Linked DNA regions of Canis lupus familiaris. The protein of the gene in region 1 interacts with the protein of each later gene in a pairwise test. Links are inferred from orthologs where the notes say so. Each region holds a gene or a part of one and is shown on either strand. Other genes may lie near its edges. The genes, in order: SIPA1L2, AP3M1 and DDX6.

Evidence for each region.
Region 2: the proteins of SIPA1L2 (region 1) and AP3M1 interact in binary tests that used the Homo sapiens proteins (3 or more experiments, as listed by UniProt). The two-hybrid records come from large-scale screens. The link is inferred for Canis lupus familiaris from reciprocal best matches to the Homo sapiens genes SIPA1L2 and AP3M1.
Region 3: the proteins of SIPA1L2 (region 1) and DDX6 interact in binary tests that used the Homo sapiens proteins (3 or more experiments, as listed by UniProt). The two-hybrid records come from large-scale screens. The link is inferred for Canis lupus familiaris from reciprocal best matches to the Homo sapiens genes SIPA1L2 and DDX6.

What each region holds. Positions count from the first base shown.
Region 1 is NC_049225.1:7,608,237-7,615,717, forward strand, and holds the end of SIPA1L2 (signal-induced proliferation-associated 1-like protein 2), read left to right. Parts: intron 1-446; coding exon 447-500; intron 501-1,063; coding exon 1,064-1,187; intron 1,188-1,770; exon of another isoform or gene 1,771-2,133; coding exon 2,134-2,215; intron 2,216-3,298; exon of another isoform or gene 3,299-3,826; intron 3,827-5,418; coding exon 5,419-5,565; 3' UTR 5,566-6,744; downstream 6,745-7,481.
Region 2 is NC_049225.1:25,253,120-25,260,600, forward strand, and holds the end of AP3M1 (AP-3 complex subunit mu-1), read right to left. Parts: intron 6,598-7,481; coding exon 6,512-6,597; intron 5,489-6,511; coding exon 5,355-5,488; intron 4,511-5,354; coding exon 4,303-4,510; intron 3,359-4,302; coding exon 3,214-3,358; intron 2,752-3,213; coding exon 2,651-2,751; 3' UTR 648-2,650; downstream 1-647. UniProt on the Homo sapiens protein: Part of the AP-3 complex, an adaptor-related complex which is not clathrin-associated. The complex is associated with the Golgi region as well as more peripheral structures.
Region 3 is NC_049226.1:15,053,898-15,061,378, forward strand, and holds the end of DDX6 (probable ATP-dependent RNA helicase DDX6), read left to right. Parts: intron 1-2,070; coding exon 2,071-2,172; intron 2,173-2,656; coding exon 2,657-2,832; 3' UTR 2,833-2,839; intron 2,840-4,246; 3' UTR 4,247-6,235; downstream 6,236-7,481.

The DNA.
Region 1 (7,481 bases):
GTAGAAATGGTCCAGTCCCAAGATAAGGCAGTGTAGTCACACTGATCATTGTTACCACTGCTGTTTCTAGTAAGAGTATGTAGCTGACCTCGCTCACCACCACTATTCTATGTTCACGGAGTGGATCATTTCAGCAAACCCAATGGGCACGTGTTCTTAGGGTTGGGCTTGCATGTGTGAGGCACACCACTTCTCTTCATCATACACGAGAGCGTGCGTCCAGCCAGGACCGTTCACATGCAACGTTGAACCACATGGTTTGGCATCATCTGTTATTGGCTGTCGAGGGCCATGCCTCCTTCAGCACGACAGGTGCACATGCACACCAGCACACGCACAAGCACAAGCTCTACAGGACCCCATTATTTGAGTCTTGTGTGTGCCCCAGAGGCTTCCAGGTGTGTAGAGATGCCACTGTTCATAGGAAATTCTAAATCTTATTTCAGGTCTTGACTCAGATGAAGAACTTGGGCTGCTCTGTCACCACACGTCCTATCTAGGTGATTGTCCGGGGCTGACCACGGGCTCCGGATGTTCTGTAACCTTTTCTTTCTATTTCACGTGTCTGCACGTCTGCATGGTTATATCTGAGCTCAGAGGATTGGCACACACAGGGGCCGTGGGGCCCGGCTGCTGTGTCTCAGGGATCCCCCTCCCACCCCGGTTTGGGGACTGCTTGAGGAGAGGTCTGTCTCCTCGGTTCTGTTAATCAGCGACGCCCTTCTTGCGTGCCAGCCGGCTGCTTTGGCATTTCTTGGGATGTGGAAGGAAGAAAGCGAATTGGCTCTAGCAAATCCAGTATCTGCTAATTGTCCCCCTGGCTGTGATGTGCGCATGCCATACAGCCCCCAAGGACAGCCAATCCTCATGCTTTCTGATTGTCAGCAGCTTGCCTGAGTCCGTTTATCTTTGTTTTGTTTAAAACAGGGCAGTAACTGATTGGGAGGTGGGGGCGGCGTGGGGTGGGGGTGAGGGTTAGTGACTAAATTCGCTTGCACAAACGTCACCTTGCAGTGCAGCCAGTACTCAACTGCCTTGGCGTGTGTGTGTCTCCCCTCCTCAGACCAGAGAGTGGCATCCTTCTGTACCCTGACGGATATGCAGCACGGGCAGGACCTGGAAGGCGCGCAGGAGCCGCCTCTATGTGTAGACCCAGGCAGTGGCAAAGATTTCATGGACACAGCTGGGTATGTGAGCCCCTGGGGAGCCTCCCCCCACCCCCCGCATCTCCCCAGGCCCCTGGGTAACGGGTTCAGCGAAGCCCTGGGCCACGAGGAGATCACATCCAGCCTGCATCCCCTGGACCTTTAGGATCCAGACCCGGGACTGAGTGAGGCTGACCTTCCCCCTACCCTGCCGGGGTGGGCAATCCTTGCCTGCTAAGACATGTCACCTGGGGCTCAGGGTGACCAGGATCTCTGACAGAGAGAGGGAGGGTGTGGACCAGGCTTGATGTCTGCCCATAATTGCTGCCACAGCCCTGGGATGGACAGGGACCTTGGTGATCAGTCTCCTGCTGCCAGGCTGCAGGTGCGGACCTGCCGAGGACACAGCTCCCCCCAGAACCCCAGCCCATGACCCAGCCTCACTTGAATGAACCATCCCATTCCCCTGTATTTTTTGACATTATCCCCACAGAGTATATGTTCTTTACCTGATTCCAATTTTTATATGGACTTGTGTTACTATTAACTTGCTCATTCATCTTGGTAATAAGCTTCATGATATTTTCTTGACTGAGAAAAACAAATTGGTGAAATCGATTATGTATTTGGTTCCCAGGACTTTATTGGTCTTCCGAGTCTCAGTTGGATAAACTGATTTAGATAATCTATCTTCTGAGTTGTTGTTGGTTTGGTTTTTTTGTTTGTTTGTTTGTTTTTGTTTCTAACCAGCATCTATGGTTGTAGAGATTCTGAATCCCTTTTTAAATCAACAGAGACTCAGAAGGGATTTTCCACCAAAGCAGCAATATGTTCCCTTTCCAAGTCTGACATGATATTATTTATTCCCTCGCTGGGCACTAAGCACATGAAATAATTCTCTGAGTGCAAACTTTCCCAGCAAGAGTACTGAGTGCTGCGTCTTCACTCCAGTGGCCTTGAGTCTTTCTGACTACCCCTTCTTCCCTAGGGAGCGGTCTCCATCCACACTGACCGGGAAGGTCAATCAACTGGAGTTGATTCTTCGACAACTGCAGACTGACCTTCGGAAGGTAAAGAGATCCATTGCAATCCATAATCAGAGCTCTATCTGGCACAATCCACCCCTTCCAACTGGTAGAAATAAAAACGAAAATACTCAGGAAAGATGAGTGCCCTTGTCAAAGCCAATGATTAATAGAAACAGACTCATAAGGTCTAATTCTGCGTTCTGGCCTCCAGCTCATTATTTTTCACTGTTAGGGGGGCCCAAGGATCGCTGGAAATAGGACTCAGTGAGGGTGAGCCCTCTGGACGGCCAGTCCTCAGAGCGAGGCAGAAACACGCAGGCTAGTATTTTTTGGTTCAGTGAGTGACCAGTTGTATCAACTGTTTATGAACTGACCTGAGGGGAGTTAGTTACTGCCAGAAAGCCTGTTCTTCCCGAGCTATTACATTCCCCCTGAGTCAGCTACGTGACCCTCACAACATCTGCCCTCCATGTCCACATGTGTATGGTCGGTCCTCCAAAGAAATTAGCTAATTCCTCACACATTTGCTGTGCCCTTGTGCTATCACCAGCACTGTGCTGGGTCACCACTGTGCTGTCCATGGGAATGGAAGGGAAGGTGACAGTGGGAGGGTGTTGGGGAGATGTCACAGGAAGGATTTTGTTACCGTTTTGTTTATGGAAGAAGGGAGAAATCACAGCCGGTATCAGTGCTGGTAGAGGGATCCATTTAGGAAGGAAGTAATGGCAGGAATAGGGGGAGCCAGAGGGTCATGCCCTGACCTAGGGCACAAAAGGACTGGCCTTGATTCAGAGTGGGGACAGTTTATACATAGTACCAGAGCAGAGCAGGGTGCGGTGGTGTGGGTGTGTGCATACATATGTTCACATACACATTGAGATAAATTGACAGAGTTCCCCTCTGAAGGTTTCTTTTTTTCCAGTCATGAGGTGAGAGTGAGAGGTGATAGGAAGGAGTAGGAGGGGTTTGAGGTCAGAGGGTAGGTGTAGAGTAGTGAGTAAATTTACTGGGTGTATTTGATAGGATTGCCAAGCAAGGCTGAAGGTCCATTTGAATTTGCAGCCTCAATTAAAGCCATCATCTGTTGGCAAAGTTAGCTGTTTCTCTCCAGCTCAGATGACTTACGTGTCCTGGTTTGCCTGGGACGGAGAGACTCCAGGATACAGAACCTCCAGAGCTAGAACCAGAAATGTCCCAAGCAAACTGGGACATCACCCTGCCCCCAGCTGTGGGCACAGGATAATTGGAAAGTTGAATGTAATCAGTGTTAAGAGTTTAGACAGGAAATCAAGACGAGAAAGAGAGAGAGAGAGAAAGCCCCTGGGGTATCTATAGGATGGGATTAAACTGAGGATTCTAGGGTATAAGCTGGGTGAGGAGACATACTGTCCCTGCAGGGAACATAAAAGATAAGGTTAGACATTAGATAACTATTGGAGGTGTGGATACTGGAGAAATTATTCTGAAAGAACAAGAGGTGGTGAGTGGGACTTGAGAGGCTGAAGCATCCCAAAAGCTATGCAGTTTTATAGGTAATGGCAAGGTACAGGATGGCCGTGGGAGCAGGAGTTGGGGAGAGGTGGGTTTCCAGATCACAGAGAGGAAGTGGTGGAGAGAATGGATTGTGTGGAATGTCTGAGTGGCTTTGGAACCATCAACAAACAGGACAGGTGGTAGGGGAGAGAAGAGCAAACCACATTCTAGAATCTTCCATTAGTGATGGGAGGGACTGGAGACAGAGTGAGCAGGGGTGGCAGGTCACACTTCTCAGAGAAGCTGAAGTTTTAGGGAAATAACTCCCTGGGCACTGGGGGACAAGCTGTTTGCTGGACCACCAGGGCCCAAGTCTTCCAACTACAGGAACACACCCTCTCTCCCCTTCATGAGCAGCCAGGGAGTGGTGTTGTCAGGAGAGTAGGGATTCACTTAGAGGTGTGAGGATGAAGGGAATTTGGGGGAAGAGGTTGAGAGTTTCAAAGGTTTTCATGGACTGGTTCCACAGGTCACAAAGGAGCAGAGGAGTCTTGGAGACGCAGGCCACCAAGTGGCCTCAGGCACGTGGGATGCTCTGAACCATGCTGGGATGCAAATCCTGGGACAGGGACCCCCAAAACCACCAAGGAGAGTCCAGGCAGAAGGAAAGGAGTATTGAGCTTTGTCCTCATGTGATACTCATGCCTCCTCATGTGACTGGGGTCCCTTAGCAGTGACGCGGGCAGTATTGTGGGTGCCTGGGCAGAGGTCTGGAAATAGAAGCAAACCTCGAGGGAGGTGCCAGACATGCCAACAAAAGCCACAGCCCCTACAGTTCACCCCCCAAGAGTGCTGGGCACAGCACAGCGGGTGGTGTCTGTAGGATTTAGCAGTCAAGTTAGATCCCACTTTTAAAAAAAAACCAATTGTTGCAATCTGACAATGACCTCTTTGTCTGTTTGGAGCAAGACATGCCTTTCAGCACTTGGGAATTGAAACTCAGGGTTGTACCTCAGATGTGATTCTTCTGGAAATTCTTGATTATTTTCACATAGTGTTTAGTGGCAAACTCTGAAGGTCACAGGACACACACTGTAGCAGGAGAGCTTACAATGGAGTGAAAGGCCCAAGTACTTACTTTATTAGAAACACACCTCGGGGGGCACCTGAGTGGCTCAATGGTTGAGCATCTGCGTTTGGCTGGCTCAGGTCATGATCCTGGAGTCCTGGGATCAAGTCCCTCCTTGGGTTCCCCACAGGGAGCCTGCTTCTCCCTCTGCCTATGTCTCTGCCTCTCTCTGTGTGTCTCTCATAAGTGAATGAATAAAATCTTTAAAAGAGAGAGAGAGAAAAGAAAAGAAAGAAAAGAAAGAAAAAAAAAGAAAAAAGAAAAGAGAAAGAAACACACCTTGGACCAGCAGCAATGAGGGAGTTGGTGCAGAAAGTTCGTGCATTTGTTCAAGGTCTGTCTTTTGAGCTCCTCCTGTGATCTCTCTGATTTGGACAGAGGAAGAGGTAAACTGTGGCTAATAACCTGCCCCAAATAACAGCTAGGTTGATACCTGTCGCAGGCCAAGGAGAGTGAGAGGAAATAATACACCAGGGTTGTCCCCCTCGGCCCCTCCATCCTGGGCTGACACCATGTGCAGGCCAGCCACCTGGGAGGAGGTGACACCCCGTGTCCCCACAGAAGCGAGGGTGCTGGGTGTGCAGCTTGGGGACAGGGGACGTGCCGGCCCATGCGTGACCCTGTCTGTGTGCCCTCTTCCCAGGAGAAGCAGGACAAGGCGGTCCTGCAGGCCGAAGTGCAGCATCTGCGCCAAGACAACATGCGGCTGCAGGAGGAGTCCCAGACGGCCACCGCCCAGCTGCGGAAATTCACGGAGTGGTTCTTCAACACCATCGACAAAAAGTCTTAACCCGGCCCTAGCCCACCGGGGGTCGTGGGGGAGAGGCCCCGAGCGCCCCCCGCCGCCCCCCACCCCGGGAACCCGCAGATGCGCGGTTTCTCAGTGTGCTTGCAGCCAATCGTAGATGTTTTTGCTGTTCCACCCGTCTAGCACCATTCACCCCCGCAGGGGAGGGAGGCGACTCTTTCCCTGAAGCCACCTGGTGACAGCAGCGAGGACAGCGAGGCCGTGTGCACACGAATGTAACCCCTGGTGTCAAGATGAATGTAAACCCTGGCGTCGGTTTGGCCCTCCGTGTGGGGGACCCCACTAGAATGGTGCTCTGGCGCGGGCGTACCTCAAGAGGCAGGAGAGGAGGGGCTTCACCTCCTGTGGATCAGGTGACCTGGTAGCGATGTTAAAAGCAATTGACTAGTTTGGGCTTTAGTATTGTAAAATAAACCCGGAAGCAAATAATCAGACATATACTTTAATGTTAAAGGTGCTCTATTTTTTTGGATGTACAGTAGTTTTATTTCTCACAGCCACATGATCATAGCAATAAGAAAGAGGCATAGTAAATAGTTGGAGAAGCCGTGTCGGGAAAAATGAAAACAAAAAAAAGCACTGATGTCTTTACCGCTAGTTTGAATGCAGTTAATTTAGAGGCCTATTTATTTGCAGGAGCAAACGGTGCCTGAATATTAACAGTGTTCTGATTTAAAAAAAAAAAAAAAAAGCTACATATGCCTTGTCTATGGCTCAGTAAGCAGTCCCTTCAACTTAGTTCACTGTGTATAGTCAACGCTCTGCGGAGAGAGGCGCACGCCTGCTTGCCCTCCACCCTCCCGGCCGGCCGCGGCCAGCCAGCCGAACCCCGTGTACACAGACGCCAAATTTGTTTATCTTTGTACAGAAGCTTTGATGAAGTGTCTTGTATTTAACCCCCTTATTTAAGCTTATTTAACCCTAAATTGTTAATTTTATAAACTTTGGTTTGACCTGCACTACGATGAGGGAGGTGTAGGCAGCAGCCAGCTCCGGGAGGACGGGCTTGCCCGGGTCGGATTGAGAAGCAGGGCGGGAAACTCTAACAACTGGATGCTGCTAGCAACGAGTCCTTTGTATTGCTTTACCATTTTTAACTGTTCTATTTGAGATGAACATACATTTTGCTTTTTTAATAAATGTTCAAAAGAGTCCACATCAGTCACGGTGTTGTCAGGTGAATGTAGATTTTTAGCATCTGTGTGTCAATAATTTGAGTGTATGTGAATTTGTTTTGGGCCGTTTGGCATCGTAATCTGTACTGAATACTGCTTCGCCGCCTTATTATTGAATCCCCAACTCATTCGAAGTAAAGAGTAACTACTATTAATAGCTGCCGTGGTCCACACACTCTTCTCTGCACGTTCCATTGGCGGGATTCCCATGTTGCAGCTCAGGAAACTGAGGCTCAAGTGAAATGATTTACCCCAGCCAGGAATTGGGCATCGCTTACAAGAAAATACATGAGGTAAAGTGGTGGGAATTTGAAAAATAGTTGAGAAGAGGTAAACTATGAATTTGAATCAAATGTAGGATGAAGAAGATGCAGAAAGTGGGCCAAAGTGGGAGAGGAGCCATGTAAGGAGCAAATTTCTCAACCTTCTGAGAATAGAAATCATATGAAGAATTTGGAGGAAGGAAAGTGATTTCTAGAACTTACCCTAAAAGAGATGGGTTTTCATGGGCTTCACCTGAGAGTGTACTAAAAATATCCTTAACATTCCTATACCCAATGTAGGCATAGGCTTCCTAAGGCTGTTTCTTGAAGCCTCCCTGTGAACAATACAGCTGTGCTTCCAGAATGCATCCAGTCAGTGTATGTGGTTTTTCAGGGATTCAGGATGTTAATATGGGCCACAGAGATCTTTCCTGCCCCCTTCCTTTCCTGTCACTGTGTG
Region 2 (7,481 bases), about 18 Mb from region 1:
CCAAGGGTTGTTCTGTAACACCACTTTAGGAATGAATCCATCGCATGGATTCTGTTTGGATAAATGATGGTAACTTCCTTCTGCAGAGAAATGAGCATCTACTTCATTCGCTCTTAGGGTATCTCCTTTAAGAAATTATAAAATAAGGGCTGCCTGAGTGGCTCAGGGGTTGTGCATCTGCTTTTGGCTCAGGGTATGATCAATCCCAGGATCCAGGATGGAGTCCTGCATTGGGTTCCCTGGGGGGGACCTGCTTCTCCCTCTGCCTGTGTCTCTGCCTCTCTGTCTCTCTATAAAAGAATTTATAAAATGGGGCAATTCTGGGATTAGCTGTAATTCTACATTTGAAAAATATTCTACTACTAAGTTATTTGTGGATCTTTGTTATTAGTAGGTGGTAGTGGTGGTGGTGATAGGGAGAGTACCTTTGATCACTTACTGCTCAGTCTCTGGCGAGACAGTGATGCTCAGAGAAATTATCCATGGCTGTTAACATATTGAGGTTAAGAGAGGAGCACTTCCAAGTGCTTTGCTGCAACCCTTACAGCTTATGTGATGATACAGAACAAAATCTGATCATGTTTAGGCTGCTCTGATGCTGAGGCGTACCCATCTGAGAATGCTCAATCAGCAGTCAAGCTAAAAAATCAACTTGTTGCTTTCATCTTTTTATTGACAGTATAGCCAGATTAGAGAAAGGATTTACTGGATTCAAATGAATAAATACAATAATTTAATTGTAAAAGGAAACAATCTACTTGAAAGTTTTAGCAGAAATTGCTAGAGACAAGGGACTCGGCATATAATCTGCTTACTTATATATAAGAGAAGACAGCACAAAGAAAATTGGACAGTCCAGTTATACATGGTTGAGATTCGGGATTCTACAGAAAGAAAATGTACTGATTGTTCTTTTGAGATAGGACATTAAAAGACATTAAAAATAAAAGCAACTGGGCTGTGTAACCAACGTTAGGCAAAGACAATAAGTATTTGGCAACATCTTGATTTTAGCTGCCAAGCTAATATTGGTTACCCAAGAAATTTCAAATTTTGCAAAAAGTGCCATTTCCTAGTAGGTGAACGGCAGGTTGGGTACCCTATGGAGGCAGAGGTAAGAACGCTGCTGTCTGCTGGGCTCTCTCTGGTAGCCTCGACCACTAGCCCTTAACAGCAGAGTGGGATGAATTTAAGGGCCGTTCTTATGATATGGGAGGAGTTAGAAGCCGAGAAGAAGGAAAAGAAGGGAGTCACAAGAAAAAAACTAACAGCATAAGTAAGAACCAGTGGGAACCATGACAAACAAGCACTTGTATCTTCCAGCCTTCCTCTCTCCTTCAGGTCTAATGAGGCCAAGTGACTGGACAAGGACTTCAAAGCCAGTGAGGTTGAGTGAAATGATACAACTCTAGACTGACTTCTCAGCCAAGACGATCAATATGGTTTCATCAGTGTCACTGAGGATCTTGTTACTGCCTCAATATCATGTACTGTGTCAGTACAGCAGAGACGCTCAAGTGACAATTATGACAACAGTCTGAGGAAGGAACCTACTGACTACTGTAGCCTTGGGAAGCACACGGTATGAAACAGGAGCTCCCCTTAAAGGCAAGGGATACAGGTAAATTCAAGACCTTAAGAACAACAATAAAAAAGATAAAAGATTAAAAAAAAAGTGACCATAGTGAAGCAGGCACATTTTTTTTTTCTTTTGCTGAACTAGGGCTTGAGGCCTTTAGGCTAAGATGGTTTAAGTGGTGTTGATAAGCTTTCTAAAACATGAAGGTGGCAAAGTTCACTTAAGTTTCTCCTCTACCCTTTAATTTGCTTCAAATCTCAAATGCTTGTGCTTGCAATAACTTCCTAAAAGCAGAAGTAGTGTTCCCTTTTATTGCCTTAATAAAGCATTTGCCCCTTTGATACGATTTTTACTATGCTATCTAACAGCTGAACTAGTGGCACAAAACTGAGATGGGTACTTACTGCAGCAAGGTCCCTGTAAATCAAAATCTGAGCTTTACATAAAAATCTTATTTATAAAAAATACAATACCAAGTACAGTGAGAATGAAGCACGGAGCAGTGGTGCTCCCTGCCAGGGCCATGTGGAAGTGGCTTTTGCTACAGTGCTTGCTTAATGGCACAAGTGAAAAGCTGAATAAGGCAAACACTTGAAGAGGCAGTTTTTTGTAAACTTCTTGGGGTGGGGGGAACTTCCTCTGTGGGGATAGATGCTGATTTGGGATGGCTAAAATTAGGTGTGATGTTTGGCTGCACTTGATACATCACATTACAGATTAAGACTGCTCCTGCTGAGACCAGTTCACTTGTTTTCGGGGAGAGGTTATCACTGTAGCCTTTTGCCTTTATTGTCACTATGTGCAGCCTCCAGCTGATGCCCCCCTATGGAAGCAGTCACCTCCAGAATCTTTCTAACTGAAAAGATATAAAATAAGCTAAGTCATTCAAAGTTTCCTTAGCTGAAAGCTCCTTCAGAACCCTACATTGATTACTAAGCAACTTCATTAGCGGTGTGTAGCATGATAGGAATGCTTTGACTAATATGTATTCCCACCCACTTGGTACCTAACAGTAATAAACTATAATGACACTAGAAAAACAAACGGATCTTGAGGAATTTTGGCCTCTTCTCATGTTCTCACTTGGAACTTTCCAGCTTTCGTGACATATTTGACTCCTTTAAATGGCTTATATTTCTCCCCATACATGTCCAAGCGGTTTACTTTTAAGCCTGTGTCCAAAAAAAAAAAAAAAAAAAAGGTAAGGAAAGGAACAAATTATTTTCCTGGCCATACCAACCAACAATTATTTGTCTAGCAATGAACACTACTGAGTAAATCTGACATTAACCAAGTGTCCCTTCTACTATTCACAAATTATAGCACTGTGGGGGGATGGTTTTAGTTCAGATTCCCAAGTGGGCAAAGAATGTCTTTTAAGGATAAATCTTTCTGTATGAATGACTCTTCCCTTTGTGCTTGGATGAAGAGGGTGCAGAGGAAGAAAGCTGTGTGAAATAAAGTGCTCTGCAAATCACTGTACCTCGGACTATGGCCCCACAGCACGGTGTGACAGGCAAACTGGAGCTATTGTTCTTTCTAGAGAGGAAATGCTTGTACCCTTCTAAGCTCCAAATAGTTGACCCCAGCAAAACTCAGTTAAACCGCAAACATAAGTCAAAACTTATCCTTACCAGAAATAGCAAGCTGCTGGATCTTGAACTGTATGTTGAGACTTGGATTCTCTTCTGGCTTGGGTGCTCCAGACTGTAAATTTACCAGTCCTTTAAGACTCGGGAGCTTTTGTGGAGTAATTTTTCCCACATCCCATGTTAGTACCTTAAAAAGGCATAAGAAATACAATCTGAACCATTTACTAAAGACAAATGTTCAAAGACACTATAAACTTCTGTACAGAATGACGCACAGTATCTTGGAAACAAGGGACCTGGGATCTTCACAGAGTCTTACCACTAATCAGGTCTGTGACTCTGAATGGTGAGGGCAGAGAACCAACGTTTGTAGAGCATCCACTTTTGGATACAGCACTGTGCTTAGCACTATTCATACATCTCAAAAAGGCCTATGATGTAGGTTTTGTCTTCTTTTTACAAAGAAACTGAGGCTCAGTGGTCAACCTCTGGGGAAGTTCTTCAAATTCTGAGGACTGGTTTTTACTTTAAAAAATGCCTTTTCACTTAGCAGGCAGCTCAATGACTCTGCTGCTGAAAAGAACCACACTTTTTACCCAAGCAGGAATCTGAGAGAAAACCATCTTTTTACAGTTTCTCTGCAAACCCTTTGCTAGAGGCACGTTTACGTATGGTTATGTATGGTGAGGAAGCAGCTATCCTAGCCAGCATTCCCTGTGGAAGAGTATGAATTGCTTGTAAATGAAAAAGAAAGGTCTTAATGATCAATTTCTACAGAAAATCGAACAATTAATAGACTACAATACTAACTTCTTATATCCAGATCATGCTTTTCTCTTTTTAAAAAAGCTTTCTACGTCTTCTTCCTTAGTGAGTATGTCTCTAGATTATCAGTGGATGAGGAAAGGCACACTCTGAAGGAGAACAGAATGAGTCTCACGTTTCTGTTCATCTCCTCAGCAGCAGATGCGGGATTCCCTCCATAGCCAGTGGCCGAGTACAGGTTGTTCTCAGGTTTTGTGAGGAACTTTAGTTTTAACCAAGACATTAACCCTTCCTTCTGCCCTCCCTGCCATCAGAAAATAAAGACTGCAGAAACATTTGCTCACGCTTGATTAGAGCTAGCTGTACCTTGGTAACTGGATCAAATGTATAGCTGCCTTGTGTTGGTGTCAGGTTCATATTCAGCACAACTTTGGGCATATGAACTGTTACTGTGATTCCTTCAATAGTTTTCCCCATATTCTGCTTTGGTCCAATTGTAATATCAAATCTACCGCAAGAACTGTTCTCCTTAAAGCTGATGCTATGTTTCACATACACCGGTATTGCCACTAGACTGAAAAGAAAAAGACAGATACAACCACAAACATAATTAATTGTGTGAGACAGCTCCTGAGGTAGCCTGAGAACCTCAGTCCAGAGTATTCCACTCCTTTGACTCTACCGAGGGCCATATATCCCCAGACCTGGAGGGTCAGCATTCACTAGTACTCACCAGAGAGTCTGAGCACCACCACACTAGGAATTACACAATTTCTGAGCAAGAAGTATCAAATCAAGACAGGATTCAAGATAGGATAAACAAGTGGCACAAATAGCCCTAGTTTGAAGAAATTAATTAAGGTCCCATAGAAAAGAGAATTTAAAATTAAACTAAATGAAATTGTCCCTATGTGGTAAGAGCCAAGAAATAACTCCTCTGCTTTTGAGTATTACTGATGCTACCCAAATGCCTTCTGATATTTTCAAGGGACAAACCATTTACAACCCACAATGCCAATTCATTCATTTAATCTTAGTACCCGAAAGAGTGACCGGAAGTCAGTTAATTGGGCGATTGCCTAGAGAATTAGAGATGTATCTGTCTCCCTCTGTCAGATATGAAGTCTACAGACCACAGTAAAATTATGGCATGGGTTCAAGGTTTTGTGTAGGTTGTGCACAGTCCAAAGTGTTTGTTCTCCGGTATATGTTTTACTAGTACTTTATATTCTCACATTCAAGGAACACTGATTATTTTAGATACATATTTCACCAGTTCTTCCTGAGTTTCCTAATGAGCCATGGCCAAAGAGAGCAGTGATGAATTCAAGTATCCACCTGTCAGAATGAAAAAGGTAAGGGGACTACCCATCACTCTGATACATGATAGCAGATTTCTAGTTGATGCATCAACGTACTTTTGTGAGCTGACACGATACGATATGAGTCGGAAATTTCCATCTGGAGGAATAAATGACAAAACTCTTTCAGATTCCCAGCGCTTGAACCGGATGCAGGGGTGGAAGCTGACATCGTCGAGAAGCCGTGGGTTCTGCCAGGAAAACAAGACGGCAGTATTCACAGAGTGTGCGGAATAGGGCAAGTCTGCTAGGATACTATGAGAAATTAATGTACTCCCTAAGGATAAAAGTTACATTACGAGTTTGTTACTATGACCACAATAACACACAGTTAACAGTTTCACAAGGCTTTGAGATTTCAAATATATTTTGTAAAGCAGGGGAGGGGGCAGAGGGAGAGGGAGAGACAATCTTCAAGCAGATTCTCCACTGAGTGTGGAGCCAGACACAGATCTCGAACCTCACAACCCTGAGCTGAAATCAAGAGCCGGCTACTTAACCATCTGAGCCACCCAGGTGGCCGCAAATATTTCATATGTTATTTTAGTTGAATTTCAATTACTATTAAGTAGAAAATGTGAGCCGTACTATCATTTCCATTTCACAGATGACAAAAATGAAGTTGGAAGAACTCAAGGTCAAAACGAGATAGCAACAGAACTTTGTTCTCTTTTCTTAGTAGTGTATCATGCCAAATCTAAAATGATGCAAAAGATCAATGCCCTTTCTTATCAGTAAAGCAAATAATAATTCAGTGAGACTACAGATTTGCAGAAGCCATCCAGCCATTTAAGCCACTTCTAACATAGCCAGGAGAAGACTTCTCCTCAGCCTTTCCATAAAGGCCATGCTCATTATGTAAGCCACTGTCTTGGGAAGCTGTGCTAAGAATATTTCTGAGATAGGGGTACCTGGGTGGTTTAGTTAAACAGCAGGCTCTTGATTTTGGCTTAAGTCATGATCTCAGGGTTGGGAGAACAAACCCCATGTCAGGCTCCCCGCTCAGCGTGGAGTCTGCTTAAGATTCTCTCTTTCTCTCTCTCTGCCCCTCCCCCTGCTCATGCTCTCTCTAAATAAGTAAATAAATCTTAGAATATTTCTGAGATAATACTTACAATCTAAGATACAAACATCTCTCAGTATTTATCATTTCTTTCAGTACTTCATATATATTAGGCATACAAAGATCTACAGGACAGGAGAACAAAACTTACCATGAAAGAAAGAGAAAGGTCAGGCATTCCAGATAGCTTAATGCAAGCATCAATGACCCCCTGAATTTCTGCAAACACTGTAGATCCTGAAGAAAGGAAGTGATAACATCACTGGAATTGGAGTCTAGTAAAGACTAGAGCGATCACTGTCTCTGAAATAATGGAGACATCACCTCGGTGTCAGACATAATGAAACTTGCACATCTACTAACAAGTTAGTGGGACAGAGGATCCATTGCACCAGTTATGACAGTTTCTTCACTAAACGCCCACACCTAACTGGTAGGACTGGGGTAATTCTACGGAATATCAAACCTGCCTCTGTCTTGACATAGTCAACCTTGTAAGACTGCTGGATATGAAATTAAAATGTTTTTGGGGTGCCTAGGTGGCTCGGTCTGTTAAGCAGCCAGCGCCTAATTTCTGCTCAGGTCATGATCTTAAAGTCCTGAGATGCAGCCCCACCTTGGGCTTCCTGTTGGGCATGGAGCCTGCTTAAGATTCTCTCTCCCCTTCCGCCTCTGTCCCTCCCCATCAACTCTTTCCCTTTTAGAAAAAAAAAGTGTTTGAAGTTAAAATATTTTTAATGGAATTTAAAAATGAGGCAAATTTCTCATTGAAATGGACTAAGCTGTTAACTTTGAATAGGAGCCATTATTCTGTAATAATGTAGCTATTATTCTGTATGATAGAATTTTTATAATGAAAAGGGCACTGATTGAAGAAAAAATACTGGCTATAATTCACAATAACTCATTTTCACACAGCAACTAGCTGTGTGACCTTGAGCAGATTACTAAACCCTTTTGAGCCTCAGTTTCCTTATGTATAAAATGTGAAGGTTGGACTAGATGTTTTTAGTAAAATTTATGGTTCTAATAGAGTACAGCTGTTTTGTCTGGGGTCTTCAGAAGTACTGTATGTAAAGTGGTAGCAAAAGTATGGTGCATGGTAGATAATACAATAAATG
Region 3 (7,481 bases), on another chromosome or scaffold:
TATTGAATTTGCTGACTTATAGAAGGACTGTTGGATATCCTGGGTGTTTCCAGTTTATCTTGTTTCTCTGCCTTGTATCTAAAAGGACAGTACAGCTATGAATTATTACATTTATGTTTACTTTATCAGCACTTCTAACTTTTGTATTTGAAGTACTCAAATGTAAAATATCTGATTTGGTGGAAAAGATACTAGGCTCCTAGAATTTTAAGATTGGAGTTCAAGTTCTACCCTTTTTAACCTGTAATTATATGACCTTGGACAAGTCCTACTTTTTCTTTGATGTCTTTTTTTTAATCTGTAAAATGAGAATGCCTTAAACTGAATTCTGCCCAAATATCTGTTATTTATTCAAAAATAGTTTTTGATTTCAGCATACATTTATTTACTCTTTGCCAGGTATTTAGTTAGCTTGGTACTGAAAAACTACGTTACTCCTCAGCTTTTTGTATATTTTACCACAATTTAAAAATTTTAAATACATGCATACAGTTTGCAGTTGAAGATCTATAATCTAGAAGATGAACTAGTTCATTGGTGAAAGGTTAAGTAAATTCAGAATATGTAAACTTAGTTTGTCATTAAATAATACTGAATAACGTGTATAAAGTGTATAAATAAATACATGGAAAGTATCACTTTTTATTTCAAGGAGCAGTGGTTTAATCAGATTTAAAAGATAACATTAAGAGTCTAAGGCAGGCCCTGCAACCTTTAAAGTGCCAGATATAGTAGATATTTTAGACTTTGTGTACCATATGGTCTCTTACAAGTTATTCAGCTCTGCCATTGTAGCTCAAAAGCACCCTTAAACAGTACATGAACATATGGGTATGGTCCTGTGACAGTAAAACTTAATTTATAGAAACAGTCTTTGGGCTGGATCTACAAGGGAGTAAAAGTAATTTGCAAATGTGAGGTATGTGTAGTAAGTAATCCTAAATTTTCTTAGGAAAGGAAATTAGCTATAGCGATCTGAAAAGAGATGGAATTTTAACTGGCTGTATAAACTAGATAACTTTTAGACTTGCAGAAGGAGTTGTAAGTTAGGGATTGGCATCAAACCTGATCCATAGAAGGCTTCAAGAAAATACGTTTAAGAAAGAATAAATAGATGAATTTCGTGGAGATGAAGGTTTGAGAAGACTTGTCAGAGAACTGTGTTAGGGCCAAAGTATAGAGTGCAGGACCTTCTATGTCAATTTTAATTTTATCTGGAGGCAATTTAAAAGAATGAGTTATAAGTTGAAAACAGTATTTTAGAAATACTGGTCACTGTCCTGGATTATTTTGGAGGGTAGGAGCTGATAGAAGCGCTGGAATTTGTCTATCGTAATTGTCTTTTCTTGTAGTTTTCAAAGCCTAAATCAGCACAGTAATTGTTGGACTAGAGAAGTAAAGAGGTGGTCTTGTGCTTGCCTCAGACTTGTAAATCACCTAGTAGAATGAAATGAATTAAAAAAGTATAAATAATTACTACAAGTGGATTATCTTGTTTTTGATGTATTCTTGGTTATACAGCAGTTTTTAATCTATTTGAATCTTGGATTACATACTAAAAAGTATATGAAAATTACTCCTGAGACATATAGGAGTTTCTAGTTTACCAGTCATTCTGACCTCTTCTTTCTCTTGTAGTTACCTTATAGTATTTTTTAAAACTTTATGGGACTAGGAAAGGTAATTTGCTGGGTAAAAGTTAGTACAATAATGAGCATAAATGTAATGCTAGTTTGCAAGTACATTTGAATTGCTGAATGAAGTGACTAAAACTTAAGTTGCACTAGAAATACATGTTAAGGGATCCCTGGGTGGCGCAGCGGTTTGGCGCCTGCCTTTGGCCCGGGGTGCGATCCTGGAGACCTGGGATCGAATCCCACGTCGGGCTCCTTGCATGGAGCCTGCTTCTCCCTCTGCCTGTGTCTCTGCCTCTCTGTCTCTCTGTGTGTGACTATCATGAATAAATAAATAAAATCTTTAAAAAAAAAAAAAAGAAATGCATGTTAAGGTGTGTACAAAGACATGCCTAAATTGAAAGATGTGATGGAGATTCTTTCTTTTTCTTTTAAGATTTGTTTACCCGAGGTATTGATATACAAGCTGTGAATGTGGTAATAAACTTTGACTTCCCAAAGCTGGCAGAGACCTATCTCCATCGTATTGGAAGATCAGGTAAGGAAAAGGAAGATGTTCTTCACAGGAGTGTTTTGAGAAGTATAATCACTAAATTCTGTTCTTTTGTGAAGTAGAGTGTAGTAACAATGAGAACAGTGAATTAAAATTTACTTAGTTTTTTTATTTCTAATTTTTCTAGAGCATTTAAGAAAAGTTAAAATATTTTGACTGTATGCTTAAATTGATACAAAATTCACAAATGAGATCCTCACTTTTCTTATTAGGTAGTGCAGTCTATAACTACTATTTAGTATCTGTATTTTGGCAACTTTTGACACAAATGAGCCTCTTTTATCATTTGAAAAAGGCCTATAAATAGGGTACTGCTTTGGGCTGTGAAATCTGAAGGCATACACTGAGAATGGGACTGAACAAAACTGTTAATAATCTGGTATGCTTTTGCCACTGAGAGATTTGCACATACATATCGATTCTAATATTTAACTCCTTTTTAAAAAATCGATTAATGTTTTTTCATTAGGTCGCTTTGGTCATCTTGGCTTAGCCATCAACTTGATCACATATGATGATCGCTTCAACCTGAAAAGTATTGAGGAGCAGCTGGGAACAGAAATTAAACCGATCCCAAGCAACATTGACAAGAGCCTGTATGTGGCAGAATACCACAGCGAGCCCGTGGAGGATGAGAAGCCCTAACAAGCATGTGCGTACCCTGCATAGCGCTAGGGAGCATAGTGGTGAAAGAAAGGAAAGAAAGCAAGATCCTCCTTCCTGGAGGAAATTTGCTGTTACACCACACGTACTAGCAGAGACAGCGTAGAACCTGTTGGCATGAATGATGGTAAACCGGGTGTGCTTGGGGGAAGTTGTTGTCTCCTGAGAGAATCCATGGATACTGTTCTTGAATGCAGTTTTCCTGTATGATGTGATCCACGAGCAGTACTTAAGACAAATCCAGACTTCAAAATAAAGCAAAGTAGAATCTTTTTCTCAGCAACTTGAAGATGAAACTAATTTTTTTTGGTCTTTTATCACTTAGTCATTCTTCTTTTGTTAGTATCACTCTTAATTTCTACTGGACGTTGTAGTAAATCAAGATAATTACCTGAAGTACCTCGTTGCCAAATGTGTAATCAGGTTGTGAGGATAATTGTCTTTTTTTAAATACTCACTCTGGTTTCCTGTACCACCCTCTCTTTTCATTGGTGGACTATTGGGCTTTGCTAGCAGTGCTCAAAAGAAGACCCAGCATCAAGGAATTCAGGCTGTTTTGCAGTTTTTTCCAAGGGAAGTCTTTTATTTGAGAGGTGGTAATTTTTACATTACCAATGAGTATTTTTACCTGTTTTTTTTTTGTGGTTTTTTTTTTTTTTTTTTTAAGATTTATTTGAGACAGCACAAGCAGGGTGGGGGAGGGACAAGCAGACTCCCTGCAGAGCAGCATCCGCCACTCCCCCACCCTCGCCCCCCACCACCTCCCACCCCTGTGACCTGAGCCAACCAATGTGATGCTTAATCATCGTGGCGCCCCATATGCCTGTTACTCTAAGTTTCTGAATTACTCTTCACTTTAGTTTTCTTTCTTTCTTTCTTCTTCCCCCCGCCCCCTTAAATGTCAAACAAAATCCTCAGGCTAATGTAAAAGTAGCCTATGTTTGCTGGTATCCTGGGAAGCTATCAAATTTGTGGATGTTTAAAAAAAAAAATAGTTTCTTTCTTTCTTTTTTTTTTTAAAGATTTTATTTATTAATCATGAGAGACAGAGAGAGAGAGGCAGAGACACAGGCAGAGAGAGAAGCAGGCTCCGTGCAGGGAGCCCAACTGGGACTGGGACCTCGGATGAAGGCAGTGCTAAACTGCTGAGCCACCCGGGCTGCCCAGTTTCTCTTGATTTAACTGTTTTGGATATCAGAATTTAGAGGCTCTTGCTCTATCTCTGGGATTCCTAGCAGAAATGCCTTAATCCTAAGTGGATTGATTCTACAGCAGGCAAAGGCTCAGTAGAAGCCACTCCACAGAGCATTTGAGATGGAGATTGTGAAAACCTAGGTATCTTGGTTCATATTGTCTTCACAAAAGTTAATTTTAGATTTCTTCCTTCTTCCTTTAGGCTTTCACAAAATACAGAAGGCTCGTTTGGATCTGTGACACATCGTTTGGGGGGGATGCTCTTCTCTTTGTGGGTTTTTCATCTTCTTTTATTTTGGAACTATGAAGACTTAAAAGAGCTCAGACATTTTTTTCTTTTTTTTAACTGGTGAAGAGAAAAAGCTGAAAAGAAGGAATTTACCTTTTTTGTTCCACTTGTTTGCACTGTGTGCTGACTGAACATTAGTTGCACTAACTGCTGGTTTTTAAAAAATGTTTTCTGGGGAAGGGGGACAAGGAAGGAGGAGAAAGAAGAGAAGGGGAGAAACCCTGAAAAGAGAAGAATCTTGATGAACACACAAGCTTGTCTACAATTTCAAAATTCTCCAACAGCTGACTCTTGAGTGCATTTCAACTTCTCCCTAATTACTCATCCGTTTTTTAAGCCTGAAGAGCTTATTACTTATTTGTGCGAAGTGCCTTATGCTATGAGACCATTCAGAATATCATCTTTTAGACACAGCCCAAGAAATCAACAATAGTAGTTCTTTCCTTTTTTTATTTTTTTTTCCTTCCTATCTTTTTAAAATTTTTGTCTTTTTATTTTGATTTCAAGTTGGAGTCTCTCTCTTCCCTTTTTACCTGATACTCAAGCCCAGGGCTGGAAGATGACACGTATTAGTAATGTTAAACACCATTCTCTTTTTCTTTATGTGGAGGAGTTGATATGCAACTGCAGTTCATCCGCACTGTAAATACATGTATTTAAAAAAAAAAAAAACAATCCCAAGTAAAAATTTCTTCTGGGCTGAGTAGATTACAACATCATCGCTCCCAAAGGAAAGAGCAGTCTATCATTGCAGGAGCCATATGACAAGCCTTTGTGCTCTATAGCAGAACACTAAAGACTGGTTTACATACGCTTCCATTAGCAGTTATGGCACTTGATGTGTAGACATGTCAGAGCCTTGACCCTCTTTCCTCTGTGGCAAAGCGTGTCCCATAGAAAATTGGGTGTGTATACTTGTATAAACTTTGTAAATAAGTTTTTTTCTGGGTTCATATATATATATACATATATATATATTTTTTTTTTGGATGAAGGTTGCTGGGATTAAGGGGATTAGAATGATTATGGGAGCAGCTAAAGATGAGAGGGGCTCAGTTTTCCGCAACACTAAATTCTAAAAAGTACTTTGGCCTCTTTAGTAGAGAGAGCAGACCTCTGTGGTGACCCTGTGTTGGAAGAGGGACCTGGAAGTCTGGGATTTATTGTTTGCTGCCACACTGTATCATCTAATACCTTTGGAGAACACCTGCCAGAGAGAGCAAAGAAACTTCAGAAACCTATAACTCAAGATGTTATTTTTGAGAAGCTCTCTCTGATTTTGCTTCTTCCTCCCCTTTTAAAGAAAGTTTGAGGAACTTTTCAAGCTCAGCAAAAGGGGACAAAGATTAATCTCCCTTGCAGTGTGGAAATTCAGTTGCGTGGCAGTGTCTGAGCAGTATATGTACAAAGCATGGATTTTGCATTTCAGAATATTAGCCAGTACCAGCTTTGGTAATGTTAGCAGTTCTGGAGCTTACTTTCTGTGGATCACTTCCTGTACTGTGTTAAGTGTGTTGCCCTCTGCCCACCTTGATACATAAACTTGCAGGAATGGGCAACTCCTGAGAGCTGTTAACTTTCATGCTAAAGAAAGCTGCTTGCCATCCTCTTGCTTTGTGACAAGAATTATCTGTCATTTTGCATTGTAAATTGCTGGCAAATGCTTTACAGTCAATAGTGTTGCTTTAAATTGTGCCCCTCCCAACATGCTTGATGTTTGGCCTGATCTCCAGGCAAAAGGAGTGAGATGAATCAAAACCAGTGAACTTTTTTTTTTTAAATGTTTTTAATTCCCTTTTAACCCAGTGTACTAGGTCAATCAGGAGGCATCTAGGGTTTAAAAAAAAAAGCAAAAAATAAAATGAAAAAAATTTGTTTTCCATATTCCATTTTTTCGAAACCCTAAAATATTACAAGAGAAGTCCTGCATATGCTTTCGTGCTTAACTCATGGATAAAAAAATCAATTATTTAAAGTTGCTTTTTTTTGACTCTTGCGTAGTTCTAAGCAAAACTATTTTGTGACTCACCCAAAACTCCTTAGGATCAAAATCCTACAGATGCCTCCTGATCAGACATAGCCCTAACTCCTTAAAAAATCTGTAGCAAGAGCTGCACAGTACAAACCCAAAAAGAGTAAGCTCATTTATTTGGTATTCAAGCTATGTTCTATCCAGCCAATGTTGGTTACTAAATACAAGCCCTAATTAAGAAAATAACTCTTTTCCAGGGGGCGGCGGGGGGGGGGGGGACGGGGGGAGGGAATTTAGAAGGCATCAACTTTTGACCAAAAATATCTTGCCCTTGTACTGATGCAGCTCTCTCTTTCTTCCCCACCTCTGGCGAGATAAGAGGGATCATTCATTATAGAAGAAAAGCAAGAAAGGCTTGTAAATGCAATTTGATATCTCGCTAGAGAGAGAGTAGGTGACAAAAACAGCGCAGTCTCGTTTGCTATCCTCAGACTGTGCCCGGTGCCACATGCCTGTGGGTCCCTCTTAAAGCACAGACTTAATTGAAAGTATTACTGAAGTATAGCCTCTGATGAGGAGTGGCACTTAAACTATCTGGGACACCACTATTGGACACAGTTCTGTAGAGGCAGCTGTCCAGTTTTGGTGCTGGACTCTTGAATAGGAATTATTAAATGGAAAGATGCTCTAAGGACTAGGTCAAGGCCTAGTCTTTTTTTTTTTTTTTCTTTTTTTTTTAAGTCCCCCCTCACTATAAGAAGCATTGTTATTAGAAATTGTTTTTGTGTTCTTTCCACTATTGGGTGTCTGTTTTCAGTAATGGTAATATTTTTTCCGGTGATTCATTTGGATGAAACTTTTCCCTATTTTTAATATTTAAATTATGTCCAACTCGCGGTTTTGCCTGTGGTTGTAGTTGTGTAATGGGTTATGGACTGTTACACACCTTGCTGCCTCTGGGCCTGTGTTTTGTTTTTCTCTTCCCATACATTCCAACGGAGAAACTTTCTTGTCTTTCCCTTGGGAACAGAATAATCTAAGGGAGAAGCAAATCTAAATCTATTTCTCAATTATTTTCACGTTGGCCCCAGCATCATAATATGGGTGGGCCCCAATGGCTAGGGGGCGGGGGGAGGAATTGGTTATCAGTATTTGTTTTCAGAATGAGATGGGAGC